Struthio camelus: one gene and its partners. The protein of the gene in region 1 purifies or fractionates together with the protein of each later gene. This does not show direct contact. Links are inferred from orthologs where the notes say so. Each region holds a gene or a part of one and is shown on either strand. Other genes may lie near its edges.

Evidence for each region.
Region 2: the proteins of PTPN14 (region 1) and PDLIM7 purify together in Homo sapiens (affinity purification with mass spectrometry; 3 studies listed by BioGRID and IntAct, counting the BioPlex papers as one, with this or other methods). This does not show direct contact. The link is inferred for Struthio camelus from reciprocal best matches to the Homo sapiens genes PTPN14 and PDLIM7.
Region 3: the proteins of PTPN14 (region 1) and WWC2 purify together in Homo sapiens (affinity purification with mass spectrometry, with the first as the bait; 3 studies listed by BioGRID). This does not show direct contact. The link is inferred for Struthio camelus from reciprocal best matches to the Homo sapiens genes PTPN14 and WWC2.
Region 4: the proteins of PTPN14 (region 1) and STXBP4 purify together in Homo sapiens (affinity purification with mass spectrometry; 3 studies listed by BioGRID and IntAct, counting the BioPlex papers as one, with this or other methods). This does not show direct contact. The link is inferred for Struthio camelus from reciprocal best matches to the Homo sapiens genes PTPN14 and STXBP4.

What each region holds. Positions count from the first base shown.
Region 1 is NC_090944.1:115,141,643-115,149,247, reverse strand, and holds the start of PTPN14 (tyrosine-protein phosphatase non-receptor type 14), read left to right. Parts: upstream 1-4,577; 5' UTR 4,578-4,759; intron 4,760-5,276; exon of another isoform or gene 5,277-5,312; intron 5,313-6,797; exon of another isoform or gene 6,798-7,017; intron 7,018-7,605. UniProt on the Homo sapiens protein: Protein tyrosine phosphatase which may play a role in the regulation of lymphangiogenesis, cell-cell adhesion, cell-matrix adhesion, cell migration, cell growth and also regulates TGF-beta gene expression, thereby modulating epithelial-mesenchymal transition.
Region 2 is NC_090954.1:9,774,484-9,782,563, reverse strand, and holds the start of PDLIM7 (PDZ and LIM domain protein 7), read left to right. Parts: upstream 1-4,948; 5' UTR 4,949-5,066; intron 5,067-6,679; exon of another isoform or gene 6,680-6,760; 5' UTR 6,761-6,762; coding exon 6,763-6,867; intron 6,868-8,080. Other genes in the region: probable ATP-dependent RNA helicase DDX41, read left to right, coding at 196-332; DOK3 (docking protein 3), read left to right, coding at 1,150-1,206, 2,797-3,090, 3,512-3,605, 3,697-3,869, 3,951-4,697. UniProt on the Homo sapiens protein: May function as a scaffold on which the coordinated assembly of proteins can occur. May play a role as an adapter that, via its PDZ domain, localizes LIM-binding proteins to actin filaments of both skeletal muscle and nonmuscle tissues.
Region 3 is NC_090945.1:50,518,091-50,525,468, reverse strand, and holds the start of WWC2 (protein WWC2), read right to left. Parts: upstream 3,035-7,378; 5' UTR 2,462-3,034; coding exon 2,331-2,461; exon of another isoform or gene 2,310-2,330; intron 1-2,309. UniProt on the Homo sapiens protein: Regulator of the Hippo signaling pathway, also known as the Salvador-Warts-Hippo (SWH) pathway.
Region 4 is NC_090960.1:6,090,930-6,098,716, forward strand, and holds the start of STXBP4 (syntaxin-binding protein 4), read right to left. Parts: upstream 3,074-7,787; coding exon 3,006-3,073; intron 1-3,005. UniProt on the Homo sapiens protein: Plays a role in the translocation of transport vesicles from the cytoplasm to the plasma membrane. Inhibits the translocation of SLC2A4 from intracellular vesicles to the plasma membrane by STX4A binding and preventing the interaction between STX4A and VAMP2.

The DNA of each region.
Region 1 (7,605 bases):
ATGACGGTAGCTCTTTGCTTGCCCAACCATTTATCTCCGAGCAGCAATGAAATATTTTCAAACCTAGCTGCCCAAAGTCAGACACCTAAATCCATGCTGACACACATAAATAAAGCTGATGATCATCAGAACTGAGGAGCAGCAAAAATGTCTACAAATCAGTAGTGTATGTTGACTCACAGGCATGCTGTTAAGTCACATTGGCTCAAGAAGAATTGAGGCACAGGCTAAAAGCTAAGCTTGTAAGAAGTTCCTTTGATGAATTGGATCCTTAAAGCTATAGCTTGAGAATTTCTGAAACTCAAGTTGCTTTTATTTGTTTCTGCAGTAGACTTGCTACCCTGTCATTCAGGCAGATGGTATACACGCATACATAATGTATCTATATCACAGGACAGCAAATTATGAACCTAGGTCTTCAGATTTCTCAAAACAGTGATCTCTTGAACAATAAATTTACTAGCTTTTAACAGAAGTTAATTTAGCTAATCTAGGATTAGGGTAATAAACCTAATAACTGTGCTAAATGATACGTTTAAAAATACCCTAATTGTTAATCTAAGAAAATGACAAAATATGATTCCATTTTGTCCTAAAATTCTGACTATTTTAGCTTGGATAGCAGTAACAGTTACATAGAGAGGAATATCGCTATTGAAAGTACACTTTGAGCACTTACAACTGTGGAATCAAAAGTTCACCATTACACTTGCAAATAATAAAAAGTTTATGATTTTATAACTCTTACTGAAGAAGATACTCAGTAAGTGCTCATCTACTCAGTAAGTCCTCAGGCAGAATATAACTTTTAAGCAAACTAGAATATTCAATGTAGCATAGTGTATTTGCACAGATAATCACCCAAGACTTTTTCTGGTCTACAAAACTGGGTGCTGGCTTACTTACGATAAGCTGTAGAGTACTATAACATGTTAGCTCATGCTTGGTGGCAACAGGTTTGTTTTCCAAGATTGTGTAATCCAAATTCCTTTTCTAAGAGATGATTCTGAAAAGCACTTTTAAATAAAATAATTAATGAGAACGCAAAATACTACAGAAGTAAACTTTTTCTCACTTGTGGTAAGCTTCAACCATTAGAAGTACCGATTTATAAAGAACAAATATGATTTTAGAAGTGGGAATTTCTGCTACTGCGGAGTAAGTTTTTGCTTACATTACAATGAGGTCAGTGTACCCAGCTGTAGCACATGACAGAGATTTTAGGAACACAGTTAGGGTCACATTTACAATACAAATTGGGGATGTGTTGCAACTACATTCTTTGATTTGATTGTAATGTAGATGACTGTAAGGCTAATTAAACATCATCTACTGTTCACAGAAGAAACCACCAGTTGTTGCTTAAGCACCGTTTAAAGACAGTTTTATTCAAAACAGGTTATGACATGGTTTTACCAACCAACAAGGACCGAGATTTTTCCATGCTATAACAAGACTCTAGAACTGCAGTAGCCTAGGTTTAAACATACTCAAAATATGCTTAATACAGGTCTTACTAGCAAGGTCCCAAGATACTTCAAAATTTACTGCATGTCTTCAGACAACACATTAAAAATCTGCTATATTTTCACCCAGATAAAGTCAGTACTCCTCTACTAATGTTAATCATTTGATCAACCTGAATGGTGTTGGGCTTTTATTTTCATAAAGTTTTTAAGACAATATTCAGGCTTGTCTAATCCATGATTTGGGAAAAAATCTTCAAATAACATCTAGCTCCTATGCAATGCTTTCATCTTTAAATCAAAAAGTATCTTATTAAGATCACTATCATTATCTCAGTTTTCAGAGAAGAAAACTAAGGCACAGAGATGCGCTGCTACTTGCCCAAGATATACCAAAGACCAGTAGCTAAGGCAACTGAGGTACAGTCCTATGTCAATCATTTAATTCTGATCTATGCTACTGTTCCATTGAGCATCTTAATGTAATAATCCTGATGGAGTTGCAGAAGCAACTAATATAAAAATTCATTCATACCAGAGCAGAGGGAATATTTTAGAGTTAAATTCCACAAATCATTATAGCAACTCATTAAAGTCTCTAAATAGTATTTAGAATTGCCACTTTTCAGCAAAAAAAAAAAGCTATACTATGACTCCCTAGTGGAACAGAAAGATAATGCATAAATCCAACCAATATATTACTGAAAGAACATTGAAGTTTTCCTGACAAATTTGAAGGGGCACAGAGGTTTGGAATCAGACCAATACTTTGGATCATTTTAACACCACATTTTTGAAATAGCCATAGGAACCTCTAATCCAACTTTAGTATGTTCTAAAATCACACCTCAAGAACCAGGTAGAAACTCTTGGCTTTAATCTCAGGGTGCTATAATCCTAGCAGCTCTCTGGGGAACAAAGATATATGTAAAGGTTCAAGGTTTCAACAGTCTCAGAAAGCGGAAGTACCACCAACACAGCCAATTTCTTCATGGAAGACACTGCAGTAACTGGCTATGATCTCTGTGAAGCTCTGTACTTCTAAAGCATCTACTACTACAATTTCTAAGAGTCTAATACGGATATTATTCGTTGCACTAAGGAATCTCATGAATAAGTAATTGTCTTCACTGTTCCTAACTTCACAAGCGTTCCTTGTTTGGATTGGTTTGAAATATATTTCATTTTGCAGATTTTGTTAAGCTTACTTTTTTGCAAAAGCTCTTGCTGACAAGTAATCGGTTTTTATTTCTTCTAGGGACAGTGCTGCGGGTAACAAATATATAGATTCTCCCCTCTAAAAACTTTATCTGTCAGCATGTTTATGCTTCTTCTTGCAACATTTTTTCATCTGCAGTTAAGGTCATTGAAGAAGTTTTCCTCAAACGCAGAGACCCCTAGGAAAGTAAAAGTGCCAGCTGCAAACCAGGGATTCAGCTGAAAGACTTAGGTTACCAACACACCACATTGAAGCATTTATGTGAAAGTCAATCTTCACTGTGCTAAAAAGCAAATCCTTACACCTCCCCCAGCGTCGACAGAATTTGACAGAAACCTAAAAACTTAAACCTTAGTTTAAAATGCATCTTACCCTCTCGTGTATCTTTGCACTCGCTATACGGAAATTGTTTTTTTGGGGGGGGTGGGGGGAGGGGACAAAGTTGGACTGTATAAACTCAGGGCACAGGAGCTGTGTGCTCTGTTTTATCATCTCATTCTGACCCCTTTATGTCACTTTCATATTGTGATTAAAAGCTCTGATCTATACGTGGGCAAGTATAATTCAAGTTAAAATCTTAAATGCTGTCACTTCTTAATGCCTCAGTGTAGCCATATGTAAAATGGGGATAATTACTTACTTCATTAAGGTGTGGTGTTTGTAAAATGTTTGAGTCTCGGATGAAAAGGACTTTCCTTGCAAAATGTAATTATAATAATATTATGCCAGAGGTAAGGCATAGGCCTGTGATTCCACATACAGTATTTAAATACAATTACTTATCTATCAAAATCAGGAATCTGCGCTACTTTTCCCTCTCTCAGCACCTGATCTTCTTACCATTATTAATCTGAGTAATCCTCACGGACTCCAATGCATCTGCTCACATAGTCCTTCAATAAGGTGTACAAGCGTACACTCAAAAACTAGTATCACGTCTCAATTATCACTATTTTTCTTGATTTTCCCCTGTTTGTAATATTCTTTAAGTTCTGGTCTCATAGTTTTAGAGGGATACCTCCCCTTGACTTTTCTGCAGGTGCCCACTGGCATCAGAAGCACTTGCACATGCTTTTTAGAATGTGCATAGTTTTAAATAAACTTAGTCTAGGGCAAAAATAGTTTCACAAATCAGCTATCAGCTGCAACACTGAAGAATAAGTACAAATCATTTCTAAGACTCGCATGCCCACTGGTCTCATCTGATCCATTTATCTTCTCTAGGTAGTCCCGGCCTTCCTGATGGTTCTCCCTATTTCCCGCAGCACCGCGTGCCCCATGCCCCTTCTCTTTCTCTCAGTCCTCAGAAGGGCCTTTCCGTATCTGCCAAGCACCATATGTCCTGGAAATTTCGTATAGTTGCCAACCACCACCTTTCAAAGCAACTTCAGGTTTTCTCCTGCTTGTTCTCCAGCAAGGCACCTGCAATGCTACAACTGCAGCATCCGGGTGTTGGTCCTGCACGCCTCCCACAGCAGCCCACCACGCAGCTGGACGAGGAGGGATGTCCACCTTTTAAGGAACGAGGATGACGCCACGAGCGAGAGGCCAAAGCAGCTGAAATGCCAAAAGCAGCAGAAAAGGGGGCTGAAGAAAGGGATGGCAGGAGCAGAAAAGATTGTTCTGATGCAGGCCCGAGAGAGATGAATTCTGGGGGGGCAAGAGGGAGGTAGTGGGGAGGTGGGTTGGCACCCGGCCAGCAGGGGCCAGCTGGGGGGGGGGCAGCAGGAGCCGCGAGCCCCTCTCTCCTCTACACCCCCCGCATTTCTGGGGGGTTCCCCCTGCCTCGGGCTACTCCCGCGCCTCCCTCCCCGCCTCGCCTGGCCCCCCACGGACCCGCCCGAGGCCGGGCCGGGCCGGGCCGACGGGCGCCCCGGGGGCGGGGAAGGGGAGGGCTGGCGGGCGGCTTCCCACCAGCGGGAAGGGAAGGGGACGGGACGGGACGGGAAGACTCTCCGGATCTGCCCCAAACTTGGCAGCTCTGCCCTCCTTGTGAGAGTTGCACCAGGCACCCGCCCGGATTGGCAGGAGCCTGTGCCCTCCTCTTCCTCCCTCTTTCTCCCTCCTCCTTTGGGTGGGTTTCATCCCTCCTCTTTCGCGAGCGGGGCGGCGGAGGGGGGAGTTAGTAAAAGAAGGGGGGGGGGGTGAAAAAAAAAAAAAGAAAAGAAAGAAAGAAGAAGAAATCCCAAGTCAGGTCCCCGACGTCTCCGGGCCGGCGGCCGCAGCGGCCGCCCCACATTCCTGGCATTCCTGGGCCGTGACTCCCCGCGCCGCCCCGGCCCCGGCCCCGCCGCCGCCGCCGGCCCCTCGGGACACCAGTCCCCTCCCTCCCTCCTGCCCGCACCCGCGGGCGGCAGCAGGAGCCCAGGGCGCCCGGCCCCCCCCGCCGGCGGCCCCAGCCCCCGGCCGGCCGCCCGCCCGCCGAAACTCCCCGCCGTGGCCGGGCCGGGCGGCGGCAGCGGCTCCCGCCAGCGGCACCGGCACCGGCACCGGCCCGCCGCGCTCCTCCGCCTCGGTGCCGTCGGCGGCCGCCTCCCGGGCCGAGAGCCGCCTCCGGCGGGCCCGCGCGGAGCCGGGGCCGGGGTCGGGGCCGGCCGCGCTCCCCCGGCCCGGCGGCCGCGCAGCAGGTAAGGAGCGGCGGCCGCCGCGGAGTTTGCTCGAGTCTGCCCGGCCCGTCCCCGTGTCGGACGTGTCCCGGCTGCTGCCGGCGACCGCGGGCTCGCGCTGACTTCGGAGCCGTCTCAGTAATGTCTTTTACGGTGTGTGTGCGGGTGTGCATGTGTGCGAGACAGGGAGGGAGGGAGGGAGAGGCGATATTTGCTTAAGGCTTGCTGTGCCTTATAGTGTGCAATTATAGCTCGGCGACGTATACATGACTGTTTGCAAAGTATGAGAATAGCTAAGCTTGGGTTATGCCTACCAATCGATGGCTTGTGATAAACACGGTTTGAACAGCCCTTCCAGTTTATAAATTTAACCAGATAGGCTCCTAGATAACAGAGCATCTCCATAACCAGTAGGTGTTTGTAAATAGGCAGGAGCAGCCTGGGCTGTCGGCTGAGCTGCCCTTATTTACACTGCGGCGTGACTGTGTTTAGCTTTCCGCTCCCCCCTCGGATTTACCTTGTTCTTTGTTAGTTACAGTGAAGCCTGCCCTGGCCGTTTGTCTCCAGCAAACACTGTAACACCGAGTTACACCGAAGGAACTGCACCAAGGCCGGGAATAATGACATCTGCTCTCGTTTCTGATGTGGGCAAAGTCAATGAATTTTTAACATCCCAAACTGACTCTCTTTCCGGGAGTGTATTTGGTACTACAAGTATTACATAATGTATGTGTGGCATATGTGTATGATGTGTGCTGGAGCTTTCCTGTCGGGAGCACTTTATCTGTGATTTGCATGAAATAATCTTATGTTTCCATTAGAAGCTCTCTGTAACTTCTGACAAGGTGGAAACGAGCGGTGACTGGTAAAGGCTCTGATTGAATACATTGTTGTCCAAAAAGTTTTCTGAGATTTTTAGTATGTGGCCTGAAACAGTAGTTGAAAGAACTATTTTTACCAGAAACCATTTTTTTTCTTTAAAGTCTGTGTAGATATTTGCTGTTAGTTTTTTTTTTTAAACTAAAAACACTGTTATATGCTGAAATTATTTAGAGTTTGTAAAATCTATGTATAAAATGGCTCCCCCAAATCAGAGGTCAAAGCCACCTGCCAACCTCGGGACTATGGGAGAAGTTGGTAAGGACAGCTCTTTTGGGGGAGAAATGTGAAGGGCGGCAACCCCAGTGGGGGCTAGTGTCTAGTTATCTAGCTGCGAATGTCCTATCAAATATGAGTGACAAAATACAGATTACACAGCTTTTGCTCTTGCCCTCTGGGGGGTCTGTAGCTGACATCTAGTACTTGTTACATGGTGTAAAATAAAGCATGCGTTGATGTTATAGTTATGCAAATAAGCTTTAGGCCCTGATCTATTATTGGCAGTGCTTTCTTGAACTTCTCTTGGTTTCTTCAGAGAGGCTGTGCCAGAGGTGCTTACAGGCAGAGGGCACTTGTGTGTATCTAATGGGACATGATACAAAAGTTGGGGATTTTTTCAAACTTCTTGTTTGAAGCTGGGTCCATCAGCCGGAGGGTAGTCCGCTAAGTCTGTGGGAGAGCTTGCAGCCATCAGTTCTGCTGTGGTATTTGTGTGGGAAAAGCTTTAAAGTGCCATTGACTCCAAGCGATCTCGGAGGATCTAGTAGTGCAGATCAAGGCCTGCGTAAAGACTGCATGCAGCGTTGATCAAATCAGGATCTGCTGGGACTGAGCAAACTGAGCTTGTGTATGTACGTTATACTACAATTTTAGATGTGTCTTTTAAATGTTTTTGTAATTGTAGCAGAATTAGCTTTGGTGCAGTGTTGTTTATGAGGATCACTAGCAGCCAACGTTGTTACTATTAATGACTGATGAAGTACTTCTTTACCGGTCGTTCTTGTCCAGCAGATGCCTGGGCGTCAGTTATCATAGTTTAGGTATGGAGCAGTTTTCTATGAAACAAATCTGCTTGTGTGTACTTTTGCAAATTGTCTAGGCTGCCAGTGGCAAGTACAATCCTGGAGAAAGTACTCAATCTAAAAAGAGTTTCCTTCGTGCTTTTCAAAACTATACTATTTCCTTTTTCTATGTTTTTCTGGTGCCACGACAGTCAAAGGGGTGTAGAAGACCACTCTTTGTTCTATTTCTCCTCATATCCAGTGAGGCTGCATTAGATTACACGCTACTTAAGTGAAGTATATTGTTTTAATTTGGGTTTAAAGTTAACATTCATATAACATACGCGATGTGAAAAGTGCACTTGAAGTACAACTCCTGCGTTGGAAGCAAGTGCTTGTTTGTTGCAAGGTTTAGTTAGCTGAGGGTTTTTTAT
Region 2 (8,080 bases), on another chromosome or scaffold:
CCAGCTCCCATCGCTCCAGGGTCCTTGCTGCCCCCTGGGTTGCCTGCCACGGGGTGGTTGTTGCCTGGCTGCGTGGATGGCCCAGTGCTGGTGACAGGGTGGGAGTTGCAGGCCTAGCCCTCTGCTCCTGGGGTGGGGGCCACCCTCCTGCCTGGTGTGGTGTGGCTCTGCCTGACCTTGCTCCTCCCATTGCAGATGAACGGGGCTGTGCCTTCTGCGGTGGCCTGGGCCATCGCATCACTGACTGCCCCAAGCTGGAGGCGATGCAGACGAAGCAAGTCAGCAACATCGGCCGCAAAGACTACCTGGCTCACAGCTCCATGGACTTCTAGCCTGGGGATGCTGCTGCCCAGTGCTGCCTCCACCGAGGCTGGGAGAGAGGGCCGAGCTTTGACTCTCTTTGGGCAAACAGCGCTGTCCCCCCTGCAGCTGCCCTCATTTCCCAAAGCCCAGACCAGCCCGGACTGCAGGCCTGTCCTGCACCGCTGTGGCTCCTTTTCAAAGCATTTGGGCACTGGGGACTGTTGCCCGCTCAGCCTGCTGAAGCTCCTGCTCTAGGAGGAAATGTGAGGAGCTGTGCTGCAACAGCCCATTACATCAGCGGCATGTTGATGTGAAGCATTGGGCAAGCGGGTAGTGGTGCCTGTGGGGTGGCTGCTCTGTGGCCAGCTGTCTGCAGCCCCTACTCAGCTTCCCCGTGGTGGCATGGCTGGGGTCTGGCATTGCTCTCCTCCAAAGCCCCTGGATTCCTCTGGGACTGTTCCCCCGCAGCTCGTGTTGTGCACTCTCAGCTGGTGGCTGCCTCCTTTCTGCTGTGCTCTGACCAGGGCAGTTTCTGTTACCCGCAACTGTGCCCTGATGCAGCCAGGGCAGGGCAGAGCATGCTGTGCTCATGTCAGGCAGGCCCCTAGGAGCTTCCTTTGCTCTTGCTGCATGTGTTCTGCCCCACTGCCCTCCTGTGAGGGGGAGGGAGGATGGACACCTCCTGTGGCCCAGCCTGCCCCTCATCCCACACAGCAAAAAGGGGAAGTCGCTGAGAAAAGGAAGTCTGCCCCATTTAGTTGCTTCAGCTGCAGCAGTCACACTTCTCTGCTGCTGATGGTCTGAGTCCCAGATCCTTGCACTGGCTGCCAGGGCAGTGCTGTGCCCATGGAGAGACCTGTGAAGGATGGGATCCTCTATGTGCAACACAGCAAATTTGGAAAGGTAAAAGGTGGAGGGTGGGTTTGGGGTGGGTTGTAGAGCTCTGTCTTGCCCTGTTCTGCCTTGATGCTAGACCCTGGGGGAGGCCCTGACCGGATGGGGAATACTGGGTCCTCCACAGCTTCGGCAGGGGAACGACAGAGCCAGACCCCTTGGGTAGGGCAGAGAGGGCCCTGGCCTCTGTAGCTGTAACGGAGTGGGGCAAGGTGGCTCTCCCCACAGCTGAGGGGACTCCCCCGAGCAGGCCTCTGCTCACACTGACCCCCATGTACAGGGTCTGTCCCCTTGCCTGATCGCCACGCGATTCGCGATGAAACAATAAACGTGTGTTAATGACGCATAGCTCCGGTGCTTGTGTGCAAGTGGGGCAGCAGGGGTGGGAGCCCCTTGCAGCTCCTGGGGGTGGTGGGACCACACATAGGAAGTTGCTGTGCGCCAAGCCTTCGAAGAGCCTGACCGTGGGGGGCAGTGCTGTGGGAAAAGCCAGCCGCAGGGCTGGACTCGCTGCCCAGCTGCTCGGTGTGCTGAGCCCTTGGGGATGGGCACTGAGTGCCAAAACCCTCTGGGCACGTTATGGGTTATGTTACTGGAGTCCTGGTAGGAGCTGTGAGATGGTGCTTACAAGGCAGGTCCCACCACTTCGCTGACCGTGCCCAGCAGCATCCCCGCTGCTTCAGCGGGGTGGCTCTGCCCCTTCCTAGAGCCCGTGGGGTGCAGTCAACCCTCCGTGTGCTCAGTGGACGTGCTGGGCCACGGCTGTGCCTTCGATACTCTCACGGAGCTGCTCTAGTCTCCCTGCCTGCGAGAGCTGAGTCCTAGAGCTGAAGTGGGCAGACCCCTATGTGAGCAGAGGCCGATGCCCTGCCATGTAGGACGCAGGTGGGCTTACGGTGGCGGGTATTTTGGGTGCTCGGCTGCGCGTAGGTTCACTGGGGTGGAGGCCATGTTGTGCTCTTGAGGTGTGTGGGGGGGAAGCGCCCTCTCTATCCCATGACAGGCTGGGAAGGTGCTGGTACCACAGAGCGTCCCCTGGGAGGAAGCGGGTTGCTAGCTGCAGGGACTAACTGTACTTGGTAGGTGTGAGCTGCCTGCAGGAGCCCAAGCAGCTCAAAATGGCTTTAATTTGCATCATGGTCTGTCCTGAAAACAGCTCAAGAGGCTCAGCTGCAGCAGCAGCAGGCTAGCACTTGCAGCAGGGAGCAGAGGGCAGGATGCCTGGGTTCCCTTCCCAGCCGAGGGCGAGCGTGACTCACCAGGCGAGCGGAGCCGACCTCGCTGGAGGGCCAGGCTGGCCACCTCGCTGACCTGGCGGCTGGCAGCCCTGGCTTTGGGGCTGGCCTGGCCTGCGGGTGCTGGGGGACCTGAGAAGGCCCTGCTTGCTGTGTCCTCCCCCAGCACGCGCAGTGTGCCCAGCCCCGCCAGGGGTGCGGGAAGGGCATTGCGTGTGCCCGGCGTGCCCTGTCCTGCCAAGCATGGGCTGGAGCCCTTACTGTGCTGGCTGACGCGATAAGGAGGGCAGTGCCGGTGAAGATGCAGCAGGCAGTTGTTTGCTGACCTTTTGTTCCCCTTGTCTGTGCCCTTCCTGCACCCCAGAGGTTCTGGAGGAAGATGCGAGCGCAGCTCTTTGCTGCCAGCCCGTCCGGCGTGGCCCGGATGGAGAAGTTTGATGTGCGGGATGACGGCACGGTGCTGGAGAAGTCCTCCCTGCGGAGGTGCGCCCGCCGGGTGATCCGCCTCTCGGACTGCGTCTCCGTGGGGCCCGTCAGCACTGACAGCTGCCCCAAAGCCACCGCTGCCTTCTACCTCAACACCACGGAGAAGAGCTATGTGCTGGCGGCCGAGCAGCGGGACGAGTGGATCTCTCAGCTCTGCCAGCTGGCTTTCCAGGTACCGCGTCTTTGGGGTGAGCGGGGCCACGAGCAGTGGGGTGGGCAGGCTGCACAGCTGGGACCCCCCTCACCCTGCTCCTGGTTTGGGTGAGCCAGGGGGGCTCCCTCCCTTGGTCCCTGGCCATCACCTTGGGGTGGAGGGTGTTGCTGGGGCATGGGGCCAGGATGCAGCAGGAGAAGGGATGAGTCCCCTTGGGGGGACTAGTCGGGGGTGGTTTTGAAGGCAGGCCCCTACTGGGAGAGTTTCCACTGCACGTGTGCAGCAGGGAGAGGTGCTACAGCCCTGCTTGCAGGCCCTCGCGCTGCCCCATCTCTGCCCGCGCCTTGTGCCACCGCGGCATGTTCGGAGCAGCCCCAGGGCCGAGCTGCAGGACGAGGGTGCCCGGGGCGGGGGCCGCTCTCACATCCCTCTGTTTCAGGGTGCAAAGGAGGTGCCACAGAGCAGCGCCAGGACCCAGCCCGGCTCCGACGTCCACATGGAGGAGAACTCCCTCTACTCCTCGTGGCAGGACCGTACGTGCCATGGGCTGGGTGGCGGAGGGGGCTGGGGCGGGCAGCAGCTCAGCGTGGCAGGGCTGATCCCGGTGCCGTTCTGCTCCCGCAGTGACAGAGTTCCTGGTGCTGGTGCTCAGGACGGACGCAGCCGCCCGCTGCGGCCTGCACGGGCACTACCTGCTCGCAGCTCTCCCCCAGAGCCTGACGCTGAAGGACCCGCAGTCCCGCCAGCCCCTGCTCACCTGGCCCTACTCCTTCCTCCGCAAGTTTGGCCAGGACCAGGTAGGTGGTGCCCCGCTCCCTGACTTCCCTAGGGCAGGTGAGGTGGGCGCCAGCCCCTCACCCTGCCCTCCGACCTCGCAGACAGTCTTCTCCTTCGAGGCCGGCCGCCGCAGCGACTCTGGCGAGGGCACCTTCACCTTCAGCACCCCGCGGGCCCCGGAGCTCTGCCGGGCCGTGGCCACCGCCATCGCCTGCCAGCAGCAGGACAAGGATGCCCCGGAGACCCGGATCCCCATCCCGGGCACCGAGCCCCAGCCCCGGGGACCCGCCTCTGAGGAACCGCAGCCTGGGCCAGCCGCAGGGAGGGTGCAGCCCAGCTCCCAGCCCAGTTCCCAGCCTGCCCTGGGCCTCCTCCGCTTCCCAACCTCGGAGCCCGATGGCACCGGCCCCATCATCTACGCCTCCATCGCCCGGGGCCAGCAGCCCCTCTTCGGGCTGGGGCAGCCTGGCCCCAGCGAGCCCTGGGCCGCGGGGAAGCCGGCCGCCGAGCACCTCTATGAGAACATCTTTGCGGCGCAGCTGGGGCGCACAGAGGAGGAGGAGGAGGAGCACGAGGAAGGGCAGTGGGAGCTGGGGTGCCGGCAGGCCCCCGAGGGCCACAGCGGCGAGGCAGGCCCCATCTACGACAACCGGGAGGCGGTGGCGGCGGCGTGGGGCGGCCCGCAGCCCCCCGGCCCCCCGGAGCAGCGCTGGGGTCCGGCGGGGCGCTGTGCCCACGAGGAGCCCCCGGGGCGCCCCGGGCCCAAGCCGCAGGGCAACCTCAAGGCCAAGCTCGTCCGGCTGCTGAGCAGGGAGGCTCCTGCCGCCGGGCAGCGGGACTGGCTGTGAGCCGGGCCGGCCGGGCCTTGGCGATACGGTGAATAAAGAGGCTGCGCTCGAGCCGGCTCCGTCCTTGCTCGCGGGTGGGAGGGGGCGCCCGCGCTGCGCCTGCGGCGCCCGCATCTCGCCGTCAGGGGGCGCCGTCGTGCGCGCCCCGGCGCGGCGGGCGGTCGGCGAGCTGATTGGCCGAGCCGGCCGCCGGCACCGCCCACCCCACCCCCGGCCGTACTTAAAGGCGGGCCGGGCCGGGCGGGGGCGGTGCCCCGAGTTCGAGTCCCGCGTCCGGCTGCTCCGCTCCGCTCCGCTCCGCTCCGCTCCGCTCGGTCCGTTCGGCCCCGCTCCGCTCCGCCGGGGCGGCCCGGCGCGGCCCGGCCGCAGGTGAGCGCGGGGCGGGACCGGGGCTGCCAGGGGGCCCGGGCCTGGGCGCGGGGGCGGCTCATCCGGCTGGGGGCCCGCATGGGGCCGGGTAGGGGCCTGTGTGCGAGGAAGGCAGGCAGAGTGCTCCGGCAGGGCCCGTGTGGGGCAGCGCTGGGGCTCGGGGCCCGCCCCGACGGGGTGCCGCGGGTTTGGAGGGGGGGCCCGAGCTGTGGGAAAGGGGGCCAGTCCGGCCTGCGCAGGGGGCTGTGTGGGGCGGGGAGGGGGGCCCCGGGTCGGGGTCAGGGAGGCTGGCTGGCCCCGTCTGGACAAGGGGCCCGTGTGGGGCAGGGCTGGGGAACGGGGGGGGGGGGTCGTGTGGGGCAGGGGTAGAGAGCAGGGGGGCCCGTATAGGGCAGGGTAGGGGGGCAGGGGTAGGGAGTGGGGGGGGCCTGTGTGGGGCAGGGCTGGGGGCCCAGCCTGGCTGCCCATCAGGAGTGGGTGCCCCAGGGCCACCCAGGTGCCTTGCGCCAGCCCCATGGGACGTGGCCGTAACCCCTCGCGGAGGGGCTGTGTGGGCCCACCCCATCCCTCCAGATCACTTCTCTGCCCCCCACCAGCACCCTGCCCCAGGGCTGCCGGAGACCCCTGGCTGCTGGGGCCCCCCCAGCCCTGACCTGGGCGTGTGGGGCGCTGCCGGCCGCCTTGGGGCAGACCGCCACGGTCCCGGCCCCGAAGGACACCGCGCCTTGCCCCGGTTTGTGCGGCTGCTCGGTGCTGGGGAATGTCTGACACGCAGCCTTCACCCAGCCTTCCCGAGCGGGGAGCACGCTGGTGTCATCTTACAAGCCTTATATAGCCCGCCCGGGCTTGGGGAGAGCGGGGGCTCGCCGGCCCCCGGCCCTTGCGCCTCCACTGCCTCCCGGCTAGGAGCCCGAGGTCCCCGGCCCTCGGGGCGCTGGGTTTGTCCCTTCCTTGCGGGGGCAGGAGGCAGGGTCTCGAAGGGGCCCCTCAAGATCTGGGAGGGCTCCTCTTGGCTGAGATGCGGCTGGGAGGCTGGGGCCGGCCCGTGTGCCCCCCGTGCCTTGGCCGGCTGACAGCTGTCAGCGCCGTCCCGGCTGGCGCGCAGGGAGAGGCAGGGATTCCCTCCTCGCTGAAGCCCCGGCTCTGCGCGCAGAGATGGGCTCGCCTCCCAGGTAGCATCTGTTTGGCCAGCTGCTGCAGCACGAGCCTGGCTGCGCTGCCAGTCCGCTTGGTTGGCATCGCGCAGCTACTGTGCCGCTGCTAATTCACCCAGCGAAAACGCCTCTGGTCTCCATCCTTCCACACCCGCTGTTGCTTCTCCGTGGTCTGAAACAGTTTTGGCTCTCAGTAGCGTGAGCTTCCAGGGCGCTGTTGTGCGTACTGCAAGGGAGAGCGTGCCCCAGGTTTGGGGCAGGGAGAGCAGAGCCCGTGAGTGCACTGAGCGTGGCAGTCAGCTGTGTCTGGCTCTTTTGTGCTAGTCAGCATTAGCCTGGGCTCCTCAGCCCTAGGAGATGCTGATGGATTTGGGGTGCGTCTCTAACTGCAGTGTGGGATAGTCGGGGTGGAGCCGGTCCTGGAAGCGTGACCTGTCTCCTCCTGCCCCATCCTGCCAGGTGCTGGGGCCCCGCTCGGCTGCTCTCCCTGCGTTGTTCCCGTGCAGCGTAACACCGGGATCGCACCCTCTTCCTTTGCAGAGATGGGCGATGTGGAGTCCTACAAGGTGATCCTGGATGGCCCCGCGCCCTGGGGGTTCAGACTGCAGGGAGGGAAGGATTTCAGCATGCCGCTCTCCATCTCCAGGGTAAGAGAAGCTGAGCCTCGGTAACGCCCATCCTGTTCCTACCTCTGCGGGTAGGAAACTGTGGCTGCTGGGACCAGGTGACTGAGGCGGCAGCTGTATGGGGACGTGGATGAGGTGGGACCCTTGGAGTGCTGGGTCCTGCTGTGGTCTCGCTCCGCTTAGCCTCTACTGCACCACCCCGTTGCCTTATCGGCCCTCGTCTGGCAGGGGACGTGCGTGCCGGGGGTGTTCCGGGCAAGAAGAGCAGCAGAAATTTGAAGTACTGCAAAGCCTCTGCAGAGTCATTCTGGCTGCTGGGGGAGGTAGGGGAGGCCTCTTCCGGAGCCTGTCCGGCAGCTGGGGGAGGGGAGCCGCTCTTCTAGCCTCCGCGCCGTGGGGCTGGCCTCCTGGTCCGGACTGTGACGCTGGGCCTGGCCTCCTGGGGTCTGGGCTCGTGCAGCGGGCTCAGCCCTTCTGTCCTCCCTCCTGCTGCTCGGCTTCCAGCTCCAGCCCGCGTCCGAGCTCCCTCTGGCCCTGGAACGGGCAGAGAGGGGAGGAAGCCCACGCTGCTGCCGGCGCTGGGACGGTGGCCCCCGGCCCGTTTCCCCAGCGCCGAACGTGTGCGTGTGAGAGGCTTTGTGCTGCTGGCTGCTCGCAGCCGAGGCTCTTCGCGCGAGCCGCCCCTGGTGCGACGCTCGCCTGGACCAGGTGTGGTCCCTGTCCCCTTGCACGGGCGCTAGCGGGTGGCTCTGGCCGCGCAATTGCCTTATAAGCCTTGGAATGCGTCTGTCGTCCGCGCTGCTGACGCTCCGGCAGCTGGCACGGGAGGCCGCGTCTCGAGCGAAGGCTTTGCTCGCGGGCGCCGAGCGCTGCCTGGGGGCCTGCTCCGTAGCACGAGCCAGGCTCTCCGCGGCTGTCCCGGTGGGCGCGGGTCCCTGCAGCGCCCCGGCAAGGAGCGCAAACCCTGGGGGCACCGTGCGAGGCTGGAGCCACCGGTGCCGTCCCCCCGAGGCCTGCCGATCTTTGCCGAGCTGAGGGCTCCGCGCTGAGACGGCTTCAGCGAGTTTATTCTCTAAAAAATGTTTCTCTTGGCTGCGAGCCAGCGCCTAACAAAGGGTCTGATCAGATGGAGGAGCCTCCGAGGGCCTGGGGCAGGGGCCTTGTGCAGCGACGGCCTGATGTGCGTGCAGGCCAGTGCTGTTGTGAGGGCTTGGGAAACGCTGCCTTCCCGGGC
Region 3 (7,378 bases), on another chromosome or scaffold:
TAAGAACGGAGCAGCACAAATAATTTCCACAGCACTCCTAAAACACACAAGCCAAGGCAAGTGTGAACTTCTCTAACATCAATGGGATTACTCTGATAAATGAAGTTGGCAAAATTGAGCCCTAAACTTGCAGCCGATGCTAGATTTTCTTCACAGCTGTACATAGGGAACTACCAAACCTACCCCATATAAGCAGTAACAAACACACATATTATCAGAATATTCTAGAAAAGCACATACGTTAAAAAGCAATTCACACACGTTTCTGGGAAGCTTTGAAATATGGCATTTTCAGCTGTCGGTGTATTTCTACACATGAACTTCTTAATCAATAACAAAGAGGTTCAAATTGTGCTCAAACACACCTGGGCACCCACAGGCATGAGGCTGACATCACATGGCACTAATCTCCACTAGATGACTTGTATATCTACTAAATCAAAGAGGATTAAAAAAAAATTTAAACTCAAAGTGTGAATTTTCTACATAATCGTTCTGAGACTGGTGTGTAAGAAGAAGGAAAATTGTCCATAAAAACATATGTATTCCACACTTGCTTTACCAAAGAAAGATTTCAGAAGCTTATGAACCATAATACTGCATGTGTATGTTACGAAAACTTTATGACTTCCATCAGAGAAAAAAGTTGAAAATAATGAAGTTAGAACATATTATCAACCTGGATAAGGTGTTCCCAAGTCTTTCTGTAGAATCTGTTATCTTCATTTTGACAGCTTAAGGTAAGTTTCAGAAACAGCATGAATCCAGATTTTATTGCACTGACTGACTTGGAAGATCACTCTTCAGTGATCAGAACATATATTCTCTACATACCTGGAAAACACAATGGGACCTAGAGCAAGGTCATCGCAGAACTTTCAAACAGTTTTATACACTTTCCCAAATCAGGCCATTGATATAAATACAGACTGCAAATACAACTACTGTAAACTGTACCCTAAACGGGCTTGTCAGTCTGCCTTCTGCGAAGGCAATTCTGCTCCACAGTTGAGCCATGTATAATAAATTAGGGCTTCTCTCAAGCAGGGAGTGCAAAATCTCTCCCGTTTGTTTTGTAGCATTAAGAAACCCTACTGACAAGGGTTAACAATTATTTCAAACACTACACTTTTCGAAAAAGGTCTTCAGTTCCTTAGTCCTCATTAAAGACAATCAAGTCTCAGGGCTTGCCTTCTCTTTCAAGTGTAATCAAGACATTAATGAAACAATATTTATCTTATCCTTCTAGGATGACAAACATACAATTGTTATTCACTTAGCTGTCTAGTCTACTAATGAGAGTAGACCCAAATTTTACTACAAAACAAAAAACACTCTTGAACATTTCAGTGTTACAGAACACAAAAAAGTATTCAAAATGAATGTGCTCATGAGGCTGTGTTATAATGGGTAGCTTGTAATTTTCACTTTTTGCTTTGCCTCAATTTTATACCTTCTGTAATCTGCTTTATACACAAATTAAGAGATGTCTAAAATTAGACAAGATTTTCAATATGCTACTTTAGAGGCAGCAAAAAAAATAGGACTTTTTATTGTCACAGGTAACATTTATACACACACTCAAGTACCTCTGTCCATTACCACCACTAATATTTACAAGTTGTTTAAATTCCTTTGTATTTTAAAATATGTTAAGTAATATGTTTACCAGTATTATCCGAACTGGCTGCTACAATAAGCGTGACAGAGAAGTAGGCCTGATACAGCGTATGCTGTTGGTCTAAGTTGCATAGGGAAAGTTTTGGAGTCAGCAAGCTTCATCACAACTACCTTTTCTCGTTTCTGCGGAGGAATACGAACCAAGGCCTTCATTCATAGCTCAGCATAGCTTGTTCTATAAGTTTATCACGTCTCTTAAAAGTTTTTGCTAACTCGGCCGTAGCGTTTTCCCACAACAGGATCTCAGAGCAGCACGAAGTTTTGCTGGCGAAGGCTGTAAACACCCGGGGCTGAGAGGGCTGGGACGTGCCGAGGCCTAGCCGGCACACGCGGCCTCCTGCCGCCTCGGCTGCGCCGCGCCGCCCCGCACCGTCCCGCCGGCAGCCGCGGAAGCGCCCGCGCCCCGCTCCGCTCCGCGCCCGCCAACCTCGGTACCTGCGGGGCGCTCGGGCCGCCGCCAGCGCCCCCGCGAGCTTTTGTCCCGGCCCCCACCCCGCCGCCGCCAGCCTCGCCCAAGGCCCCCGCGCCCGCGTTACCTCCGCGCCGAGGTAACGGCCGCCCGGCCGCGGCGCCGCCCCGCGCCCACCCCCCGGCCTGCCCGGCCCTGCCCGGCCCGGCTCGGCCCTGCCCCGCCGGCCCCGCGCACCCACCTGTCCCGGGGGTCGATCCAGCTCGTCTGCTTGGTGTTGTGGTCGATGTAGAAGACTTTGCCGTCGTAATCCCTCGCCTCCTCCCAGCCATCGGGTAAGGGGAGCTGCCCATTCCCCGCTTTCCTAGGCATGGTCGGGCGGCGGGGGTAGCTGCTCCATAGGGACAGAAAGAAAGACGGGAAGCGGGAAAGGCCCCCGCCCGGGCCGGGGAGGGGGGGGGGCGGCGAGGGGGTCGGCAGCCTAGGCCGAGCCGGGGGCGGGGGGGGAGGAGAGAAGGAGGGGGCGCAGCGAAGCCTCTCGCAGCAGCTCGGCAAAGCCCGCTCGGCGGCCGGGCTTCAGTCCACCATGTCGGGGCCGCCGGGTCAGGGCTGCCGGCGGAGCCCAGCTGCTGTCTGGGCGCGGGGAGCCCGGCTGAGCCCCGGGCGGCCGCGGCCGCCGCTCATTAGCATGAGATTAGCATCCATCTCATCTGCATGCACATTCCTCCCGCCGCATTCCTCAGGGTTAACCCTGCCGCCGCCGCCGGGCCCCGGGCAGGAGGGGGAGCGCGCCGGACCGGCGGCAGGGAGCTTCCCCCCCGCCCCGCTACCAAACCAGCCCGCTCTCCTCCGCCTTCCGAGCGGGAAGGGCCGGGAGCTGGCCTTGTCCCCCCCGCCCCCGGCAGCGGCTCGGACAGCAAAAAGAGGGGCAGTGACCACCTGAGGGGGGCGCGGCGGCCGCCGCTGGGGCGGACAACGGCCTCGTGGGCCGCGCCGCCAACGGCCGCTAACGGCCCGCGCCCGTTCGGCTGGGCTGGGCTGGGCTGGGCTGGGCTGCGGGGCGCTTAAGCAATCCGGTCATGTCGGCAAAGCTGTTGCGTGCGGCCCGGCCGAGGGGGCCGAGCACGCGGGCTCGTGTGCCGGTGCCGCGGCGGTAAAGACGCCGGGAGGGCGGCGGGTGCCTTTGTTCGGGGCCCGGCAGCCCCCGTCTCGCATCAGGTTGCGCCGGCGGCTTTAGCTGAGGCGTTTGCTGGCCCCGGAGGGCAGGAGCGCTGAGCGCGTTCGCAATACGAAACACTCGCCGCTACAGACCCTTCTGCCGTTATCCTAGTGCCTTGGGTCGGGGCGTTCCCGAAAGACTTTTCTTTCCCTTCCATTCAGATCTAGGAGAAGATACGACTTTTCACAAACCTTGCCTCGCATCCTTGCATAGTCGCTTCAGTGACTTGTAAACGTCAATAAGCTAGCTCAAGGGTAACATTCATAAAAAGGACCTTGACATTTACAATATCTAAGTTCAAAATTTAAAAGAAAAGGTAGCCTCTCTCCCTTAACCCTGGAAGCACTTAAACTTACTAGGTGGTTTTTTTTTTTTTTTTTTTGTTAAAGCAGAAACACCAGTGAGAAATACACATATACTCTTGTTTGTGCCCAGAACCACTCTGGCCCAAACAGCCAGCACCTAAGTTGCATTAAGTATAGAAACTGGGTGTGAATTACTGCACGTTCCTCTCACATGTGCCACAGGAGAAGAGCACTTGTGGCTGGTTACCATGGTTCAGCTGATATACGGTAACTTAATGAGCTCTATTAATTTGCATGTGTATCTGATTCCCAAGATCTGGCACCAGAAGTAGAGCACCCATGGTGGAATATGAGTCTAGTTTAGCAGCTAGGACTCTTAGGTAACCCAGGTTTTATTCCCTGTTTCCTAAAATGTCTTATTTCTTTTCATTTAACAGTTACTGGATTAAAATAATAACAAAATTACCCTGGGAGAAGAGGTCTGCGACTCAAAGCTGTCCCCTTTTTCCTTTTTTTTTTTTTTCCTTCAATCTGTTTAACTGTTCTGCTATAGCTATCTTTAGCATTCAGATTTTTGAATTGTTTTCCTGAGACAATTTACAGCTCTTAAGTACTGGACTTGTGCAGTGCACAACAGGGTTTTGGATTCTACTTCAGAGGCCAAATACCTGAAAGTTATTAAGCCCTGAAGTAACTGCAGATATTGAAGTCCCATTACTCCTGGATCTGCTCCTAAATAGAAAAAAAAATAACAACAAGAAATCACTTTAATTTAGCTAATTACCAATCTGGGAAAGTTAAGACCTTTCTTATTTTAGTCATTCCAATTATTTTATTCTGTTTTACTAATCTGCTTTTCTGTCTCTCCAAATGGCTTCTATGGCTCCCAAAAACACCTGTGTGTTGAGCTCCAAACTATCTTAAAGATTTTATTTTCACATCTATTGTTGTAAGGTAACCTGCAGTGAAACTATAGACGTGAAGTAAGACCCTGCTGGTTAACAGTGCAGAAAACCTGAGCCATCCTAACCGGAGTGGATCTCCGTAAGGATTCACCCACTTACAGAAAGCAACAGGATCAGGGCCTGTTAAAGCAACAAACTCTTTATTTTCACTGAGTATTAAGTTTCAGTGAGCTAATTTGTTTATAAAGTCCAGTCTTGTTATCCTTTGGTGTGAAGAAGCACTTTCGCCATTCACTTGTATTTGTGTCTTTTTCAGTAGTCTACTCTAATTTTATTATCTTGTTTTATAGGTGACATCCTCCAGTGACAAAGTGACAAAGCACATTTGCAAGTATGGGACAACATAAGCTGGATACGCTTTTCCCTTTTAAAGCTCAGTTTGCTTTATCCATAAGACTAAGATTTCAGGTTAGATAAGTTGAAAAAATTATAGAGGATGTTCTTGTCTTTGGAAACTAGCTGCCAGTTTCTTATCTTCAGCACTAACAAGTAGTTTTTATAATGATGTAGTCTTTCTTAATTCTAAAAAGCAGGCTTGTTCTGCAGCACCAGTATACTCCTACTTTAAACAATCCACACGACAGAAAGCATGTGCTAAGAAAAATCTACAGTACCAAGCCAAAACTGAAACCTCATTTACATCATTATTTCCCCTGAAGTTAATTATGACTCCTGAGGCAATACCTAATTTCTGTCCTATGACACACCGTAGCTGAGAGAGCCACATCTTGGTTTATTGGTCAGATAAGATCTACGTCCATCTGATTTATAACCATCTTTCTAGGTAAAACTTCTTGTCAGAAAATATCACAGTTTTCATTTGCACAAGGAGATAGGAATGTCAGTTTTTATTTTTTTGAAATAAATATACTAAGATCATTGCATCATTGCCTAATTTCTATGTGTACGCTTGTGTCTGTGTATAAACCAGTGCGCTTACACTTCAATATAAATTGTTCTATGGTATGTGTTAGGTTTTCTTCCCACCCTCCCTCCTCCCCTGCCACATACACTTTTTACTGTTGTTTGAATACCTCATTGTATTTGTGTTTACAGTTAAGAGTCTACAGTCCAGAATGCCCATTTAGGACTACTTAGGAATGCCAATATTTGAAGTCAGACTGACAAAGTAGGTAATATATGTGTAAATGAGATGTTGGACACTTAATATTACTAATGAGAACCTTTAGCTTCTAAAGGACAGTTATTATTCCAGATAACAATCTAATCATCACCTTTTTTTCTCTTTTGCAATTTGGACAAGTAGGAAATAATTTCTTCCACTATCCTTTACTATTCTTTGATATGTCTAATACAGGAAGGCAGAGCAGATGTTCATAATCATCCTTTTCGGCTTAAAATACACCATGAATGCTAGCTAAAAGTCGCTTTGCAAGTATACCTCCTACATCTCAACTAATAACCTGCCTAGCTGACATTGACAGCATACCACAGATTGTTTGGCTTAATTGCGTAAGACGGTATAGTTCAAAAGATGTATGCATGCTTATTTGAAATGCGGAAGGATGCATATGAAGGAGTTGTCTAAAATACGGAACGATCTAGCTATGGCTTGACTCAAGCCTTACCTAGGACTTACCAGTAAGTATGATAAATAACAATGATATTCTCAATAAAAGGGAGCCAATTGTTCTTCTGTTTTGCTCTATATATGCATGTTTAGCAGGTTTGAAGAAGTTCATGTTACAAATAGTATCTAGTTAAAGGACTGAATTAAATGGGAATTAGAATCATAAATGTTTAGTGTCCTTTCAACTTGCTGTTATGAGCTAGAAGGAGGAAAAAAGTGTCTGTGAAAATTCTGAACACAAGTATGGAAGTTGCTGAATTCAGAAAGGGGAGACTGCAAAGCCAAATGGTTGTGGCCCTGTCATATAACTGGAAGCGTGCTCTGCTCCAGCCTGTGTTAGTGTAGTTAATCTCCTGACGCTCCCTGCTTACCTCTTGTTTCACAGTAGATCTGTTCGTGGGACTGACTGCGGTTACAAAAAAAAAAAAAAAAGTTTGTATCTTTTCCTGCCATAACAAGAGGCTCCCTTAACTTGATGATCCAATGGAGTGATGTCCCTGAAGAAATTTACAGCAGTTACAACTGCTGTAACTTGTAATATCAACAAATGGCTCTGAATCAAGAGTCAAAGTGGTCTCCCTGAAAATCCACATAGTCCCTCTCCACTGCTTTCAAACAGAATTTAAGTGGAGTGGAGAACGAGTTATGAAATATCCCGATAGAAATGTATCTCTAAAAACGTCTGACAAAATGTTTGAAGATGTATATTGGTTATTTTGTTATTTTTTTAGACACCTCAAACACCATGTAGTTACTGTAGAACTCTAAAAAACTCAGTGTTTTCTACACTATAAATACTTGTTTATTCATTTTAAAAGAGTGAATTTTATCTAAGACAGCCATGTCTTCAAAATCAAACATTTGAACTCCTCTCTGCCAGATTTTTTGTTTTTAAAAAAGGTTGAAAAAATCCTGTAAAGAAAAACAGTGTACTTGGAGTAGGGAGGAAAGGAGGAGGAGTGCTACTTTCAGTAGTGTCAGCTTCTGATGCATGTATACATCCGAGAGTAAAGGATCTTTGAATAATATTGTTTCTGGCTGAAATTATGATGAAGCTTTGGAGAAGCAATGGGGCCAGAGAACAGCTTTGATAATGTTTATGCTCATTCAGCTTTTCTCTTTACTCCAAAGCCTGTTCTTTCTACTGATATTCAATTGGACAGCTTGCAGCTAAAATAGGTAGTCCTACAAAGACTTTCCAGAGTATTA
Region 4 (7,787 bases), on another chromosome or scaffold:
GATGAGTTATTACAAAAAATCCAAATTATATCATATATCCTCTGTCTTTCCACAGTTCAGCTTTTGCACTAGACCCGTTGTACAAAAAACCAGAAACACTGCTAAAATTTTTCTGCTGCGACCTACGTCTTGTTCTGTATTAGCTGGTGACCTGCATTTTCTAGAGTATGAGGAAGTGAAATGGTACAATCAGATTTCATTAACGGGGGGAAAAAAAAAGAGAAGATCAAAGTGGAGGACACAGTGACCTAAATCCTTTCACACAACCAAATCCAGCACACAGCTTGAACTCCAAGCCTGCAACTGGTTATTTCTATAAAAGCTGCAGTAATGTCCTTATCAGGACAAAGGAAAGAGAAATCCAGAAGGTCCAAATGTTCCTAAATTCCAGCACCAGGCAAGAGATGCAATGCCTACAGAACTTTCCACATTCCTCCTTTTTTGTATAACAAAATCAGATGAAAACTTTATCAAGGGATCCTTGCATTTGCTCTGGGGGGAAAAACAAACAAACAAACAAACAAACAACCCACCCACCTATTTGTTCCACAACCTCAAATTCCAGGGATTTGCAAAATTCAGCTTTTATTTTAGGAAAGCCAGCCAAAAGAATGGACCTAATAATCCATCTTTAAAAACAAAAAGGAAGCCCCTGCTTCAAATGTTGTAGACTTTTCACTGCAGTATTTCTCTCAGTATTTGTTCTATAGGCTAAAAAAGAAATGATGAAACCTAATTTGAACCATATTTTGACACTGCTAAGATTGCAAATGACCTTGCTACTGCATGACACAGCATAAGACTCCCCTTGTAAGGTGCAAAGTGAACCAAAGTGATTTACTTAATCACACTCTAAAAGAAATAAAACAAAAAACAATGTTTTCTAACATAAAACTTTTGATAAATTACTTGTACACTACAGCAGCATACTATTTTGCATTACTACCTAGTACTGTCACCTAAATTATTCCATGATTCTAAATTGTTTTGAAGACGACAAACAATATACTAATCACCATTACAGGTCTGTCCTTGTTCTGTAACCACCTTTGAAAACTGAGAAGATAAAGAGCATTGATCTTTAAAACAAGCAGATAATTATTCTTTCTACTTTTTCCCACCTTGCCTTTTGCTACTATTGTTCTGTTTTATGTTCTGCCATGCTCTCAGCAGCTTTCATGTGGCAGACATTTCTTTATGCATTGCAAGTGTCAGTATCACAAACAACTGTTACTTACTTTTTGATATGTCAACCTTTCAATAACAGTAGGGTTCTCAACTTAACTGGATTTTCCTCAAGTAACTATTATGACTATACTAGTCCATCAAGAACATCTTTACTTTCTCCTGATCTTTTGATGCTAATATTAGTGAAGGCTGAAGGGTAGTACTACTGAACAGCAGTTATCTGAACAGAAAAATCTTAGTTTATCAACATCAGAATTAAAAAGAAATATTGAATATTAATATTAATAGGATTACCTTAACTTTTTAAAATTAGTGAATAAAAGAAAAGCAAGAACAAACTTTGTATTTCAGCTTTGCAAGGAAGTTTACTTTCATGAAATTTTAAAAGATCAAATCTCAGATTTTAAGTCTCCAGTATTTCAAATAAATACAGAGTTCATAAGAAACAGTAGAACCTATTTATCTCTTACCATGTAAAATGATGATAAAATACAATCAAACATGGGTACAGAACACTTACAGTAAGAAAGAATCTATGTTTCTAGAAGCAAACAGTCAATACCGTCACAAGAGAGACCCTAACTTACTTAAAATCCATACTGACAAAGTCATACAGAGCATACACAAAGACAGGATGAACTAATAATGTATAATGGAGAAGAAAAAGGTATCTTCAAAACAGGGAAATCATCATGATGTTGCCATCTACAATTAACATTAGATAGGACTGACACTTTGAACAGACTCTGTTACAAGGTATACAATAGTGTTTATGCTCTAAAGACTAAGTCCCCCTAATGTATGAGGCTTAAAATTATTTCCTAACATAAAAACTAAAGACAAGTACTTTCAAATGCCTAAACTAATTTAGGATATTACATCTTGCTGACTTTCAGTGTTCTCTCAAATGACATAGAGACAGATCCTCAAGACATGTTACCTGTCATCGTTGTACTAAAATAAACAGTGCTTTAACAGTTACACAAGGACTTTCACTACACAAGGACTTGGATTTAGCTCCCATTCAGCATATAATTCACGATTATTGAATAATCATAACATGAATTGTTAGATACTTCCCCCAAACATTAGAAACATACTCAACAATATATAGAAGGAAACGGGCATCTAAACTAATTGGCAGTGATAGCAAAAATAATTTTAGTGTTCTTTGTAGAAAAAGATGTAAACAATCAATTCATTCATTCCTACAGAAGTCATACAAAAATACTTGTCAACTAACTTTTAGCACACAGAAAAAAAAAGGAGTGAGAAAAGAGATAAAAAGAAACAAGATTACACAAAATGTGTGCTATAGCTTTATTACACTGAAATTATTCAAACAAATATTAAACTTAACACTTCAGCTGAAGCCCTGGAATGTTAATAGACCAAGTATTCATATTTTTACGTAGAGGCTCTAGTAAAGCCAGTTAAAATGAAATCTTTGGTACTTACATGTTTAAAAAAAAAAGTAATAGAAAAAAGTAAGTTCAGCAGCTTTCTATTATACACCTTCTAGAGACTTATCAGAACATGAGGCTCCGGATACTCTATTGATCTATATCCCTCAAAAATTACCAGGCACTAGTCCACAAATGAAATACTTAGCTGCCTTTATCAGTGGAAGAAAAACAGCCTTCCATCGCAAAATCCATATGATTTGACACTTCTACAACAGTATAAATGATAAACCCTGGTTGCTTACAAAAATAAAACATAATCTGTAAATGGCTACAGCTTTTAAAATATCTTTACTGTACTTTCCCAAATTACAGACCAAGGAAATCTCATCAGAACCTAATGGCTCAGCATACCAGTATAAGAGAGAGAGACCATCAAAACGCTCTGGTTCATCTTCATCTCCTGGTGAGAGTAAGGACATTCTTCAGTACAGCAGAAAAGACAATGACAAAGTATCCAAAATGATCCAAAACTGGAGGTTTTCAATTCAGCAGCACAAATGATACACACAGAACAATTTCTTTCTTTTTTTTTTTTTTTTTAGTTAGTAGCAGAAAATCAAACAGCCTGAGACGAGTGTCTCTGCCTCCTTAATCTCCTCTGAAACCCTCTGCGTCACAGGGACTAATTCACCTATCAAGGCAATGCTTACTTTTTCTCTTTTTTAAATGGCAATTTGTAGCAACTTTTAAGACTGACGATAAACTCAAAAGAAATAAACTTCACTTGCATTGATGACAAGTGTGGTTATGCAAGCTATATCTAGCAGCAGTCAAATGAAACAAAATAATTATTGATTGTTCCCTCCAAACAGGGTCAAAAGCAATACCTCATGATCTTTCTAAAGCAATCTTCCCAATAAATTGGATTATATACATCCACACACAAAAGGGAAAGCCAACAAAGCCGACAGACTGAAAGCAATAATGAAACAAATGCCATTGTGCTAATACTCTGCATTCTCAAACATGTTACTGACTTACATGATGTTTTAATACGGTTGTACTGTTTTAATATACAACAGTCAAAACTTAACATAGAACTTGGTATATTATCTGTAGAAATAGAAGTTGACATACATTTGTTTTTGTAAAGGCAAACAATAAAAATGGTGCAAGAAATATGATCCCATTTTTATAGTATATCTTGATGTGTTTTATAGTACAAGTAGGTGAAAAGTAGATAAAGGTGGACTTTAGGAAAATAAAAAAAAAAAGGAAGGACTTTATAAGTCATATTTTAGATTTTGCTCAATGGGATCTGTCATTGCTTTGTTCCTTTCTAATCTAACCTAGTAAGGCTTCTTTTAAAAAAAAAAAAATTAATTTTTAATTTGCTGATTTAGAATATCCACTCTCAGCATTCAGCAACCTAAACTGTTCTCCTAAATTATCCTCCACGTGTCAATGCCTGCTTCCAGAGATACTTTGTCAAAGCTACCAAAAAAACAAGGTAGCTTTGCAGGGCCTGCTTATTTCAGGCAATCCAATGGGGTATCAGCAAAATACCTAGAGGAAAGAATTTCTTCTGTTATGTTGACTATAATTTAGTTGAAAAAGGAAACATACACAACTACTCCCACAGAGGTAAGACTCTCTGCTGACCTGAGGCTTGATCTCTGGAGAGATACACACCTATTATTTTAGAAGTTCTGAGCTTCCGATGTCAGTTTGAGTAACTATTTTCTTCCACAGTTGTTTACAAGATTTTTTTCACCAATCTGCAGAATAAGCACACGCACTCCTATTACCCTTCCTCTCTCTAAATGATCTTTAAAAGATTTCTGTTTGAAACGCCAACTGCGTGTGCTGTATTCGCTATGGGCTTTGTTTAAACAGAAAGATGAAACCTCTCCAAAGCAGAAAGCAACCTCGTGATGAGACGGCATCAGTTAGTGCCTGGAGCTGCACAGCAGGAAATCTTGGTTGTGCTATCAATGCACATGCTCATCTCAACTTTTTTTTTAAAGTTGCAGTGTTTATGGTTTGATTAATACATAATTGTTTTGGAGAAAGGATTTTTGATCTTTTTGATTACAAGCAATGTGCTACATATTGTCCACATATACTGAGGTCAGTCCCAAGAGCAAGAAAAGCCTGCAAGCTAAATGCAGAGACAGACAGAAAGGTAAAGCGACCTCCTACAGATTATGGAGCAGATCAATGACGGAAGTGGAAACATAAACCAGCCTTGCACTTCCCACAATGTGAAAAGCTCCACTGGAGTCACGTGGATTGCTCACATACATTTAGCGAGGGAAAATTTGGCCCTATATATTCTTATCTAAATCAATTAAACTCTGCTAGTGTTACTAATATTTGAGCTCAAGAAAAGAAAAGCCATTGATATTTTAAGCACGGTATCAATGAGATATGCTCTAAGCAAGTTATGTAAGATGGTGAATAAGATCCCAATACTCTTTCTATAAAAAAAATTTTTCACTGTTCTTAATATCAGTAGAGTTCAATTTGTGGTATCAGTGGCAGGAAGTTTTGTCAAAAATCACTTTGACCAATATGGCTTTCCTCGTTTCTAGTTTCACATTCTACACAACAGAAACACACATATAGAAAATCAGTGAAAAAATGTGACTCATAGCTATGTATTTCAATTATTAAAAAGGTAACATGCTTTTTAAAAATAAACCAGGCATGACAAAGAATTGCTGACAATGAAAGTAGACACAAAGTAGTGTAAATTTTTCATTACTCCCACCTCCTCTCATTAGAGTTCTTTTATCATCAGTACATCACTCCTTCAAAAAACTGCTCCTCCAAAGTAACACTATGCATTGTTCAGCTTCCTGAACTCACCCTCTAAGTTTCTATCCCCCTTTATCATAAAATTCTACTGCTACTTTTAGTGTTTCTAATGGAGTCATATAGAAAATTGATATTATTGCTTTTCTTGACTCTTCTCTGCCTTTAAAAAGCATGCTTTGTGAACATCAATTACAAAGATCGAACAATACAGCTAACAATACACTTTAAAATGCATAAAATGTAATATCAGTAAGCAAAATCAAATTTTCAAGAGACATTTTCTGCTATCTTGTGAGGCAAGCAGACTAAGATTTTTTCAGAGCTAGTAAGTTATTGTCTTCTAGCAGCATTATGACGACTCATTTTTCCCCAAAGACATTTTATAATGGTTTAGCAAACAAGATAGAAAGATTTGCCCAATCTGTAGTCTGCTGAATTATCCTATAAACCTTGGTAGCAAGACTCACAAGATCTTTTCATTATAAATAATAAAGGCTTTTGTAAAAATCCTATAGAAGTTTGTTATGTAACTGAAGCCTTCCAGGTTCACAGACCTTAAAGGGTGAATATTCATTAAGACGTTAAGGATGATAGTTAAATGTACACTTTATTATATAGTATCAACAAACACTTCCTTCCACTCTATCCAAACCCACTAATTATTCAAAATGCATTTTGCTGACTAGGTTATTATAAAGATTAAAAGAAAACATATGCCATTATATGGCAAAATGTTAAACATGCAAGAAAAAAGGCATGAGCCACATTGTAATTGTGGAGAAATACGAATGGTTTGGGGCTACTCCCTCGTATGGAGAAAAATACGTTATTTAAAGTTTAGGTAAAGCTCAATTAACATCTAAGTACATTCTTGAAGTGTTGTACGTTGATACCTTGTCTCTCAGAAGAAAAATAATACATATTAAATACATAAAATGGTAGTCTTGCATCATCATGAAGCTGACGTGTGAAGCTATGTGCATGCTATTCAGGTTAATCTTTTATTTGAAAAATTGGTTTTTGGAGTGATCTAGTAACTATGCAATATATCTTCTAAGTGAACCAAGCAAAATATAACTGTTTTGAAGACATATATCTTTGTATTACATATTCTGTATTTCCCTCTGACAAGCATAGCGTTTGCCTCTTCAGATCCCAGTGAAAAGGAAATTAGCTTTTTAAAAAATGTTTTGCTTTTTTAAAAATCAACTTATCTTTGAAATGGCATAACTCAGAATTGGTGCTAAATGGCTTGGCAGTATGTTTGATTTGTTGAGGTTTGTTGGACCTACTGCATAAGCACAGCAAACATGAAACAGTCCAGCATAAGCTGTCTATGTCTGTTTTAAGTTATGATTTTTCCTGACAAGGTTGGCATGGTTATTTAGCAGTACGGGGAGAGTCTGCAGTTAAGATTTTCAGTTGCGACTGAATTTGAGTTTGACATTTAGCATCTAAGCTAACTTTTTCCTAAATCAAAGTGGATAACATTATAGTTTATAAAATTAATAACATAATCATTGTATTTCCCATGAGAGTGACAAAAAATTAGATGGTTCCAAAGCACTGGATATAAAACATTACAGACACGCAGACATATCATTTTGAAAAAATAATGCATTATAATACATAAATCCTTACTGCATGTTAGATTACTGTAGTTACCATCCATATACATATAGGGAGATAATTTGTCATAGACCTTACAAATGCATTTACATAGTTTCAGAAGCATTAAGGAATTTTTATGAGGGGTTTTATCTGTGGAGAACCACTTTTAACCTAGTGCTGATTACCTTAATGAAAAGTTTAAGAGCTATTTCTTTCCTTTATGTGTAAATTTGATGGTGTTGATATGAGCTTTTGTGAGAAGCTGCTTCAGCCTGTTTCAGTATCAAAATGTTTCTCCTTAAGAAATCATCAAAACAAGATCCTACGAATGAAAGTACTATAATTTTCATATGACAATCCAATAATTGTTACAGTCCTGTCAGGGGGGAGAGGAAAGTACTTACTTTTTACTTGGATTTCTTAGGGGCTCTGTACAGGACATCTTCTTAGTTGCACTATTTTAATAAAAGCTCAGAATGGAGAATTCGGAAACACGAAGCACTGGCTCATAACCAAGATAATAATTGCTGTAAAAAAGGAGTTTTTGAAACTTAAATGGCTATGTTTATTTTCAGACATTGACAACAACTCTTATTTAATATTGACTAGCTGAAGATAAATGGGAAAAGAACTTTTGTGCAAAACCAGATGCACTTCATTGCTGAAAAGTAAAACAGTAAGTTGCTACCAACTCAGACTTAGCTGTGCATTGTACCAACATATCTGACAACCTGATTTCCTCTGTAAGTTATGAGGCTGTAA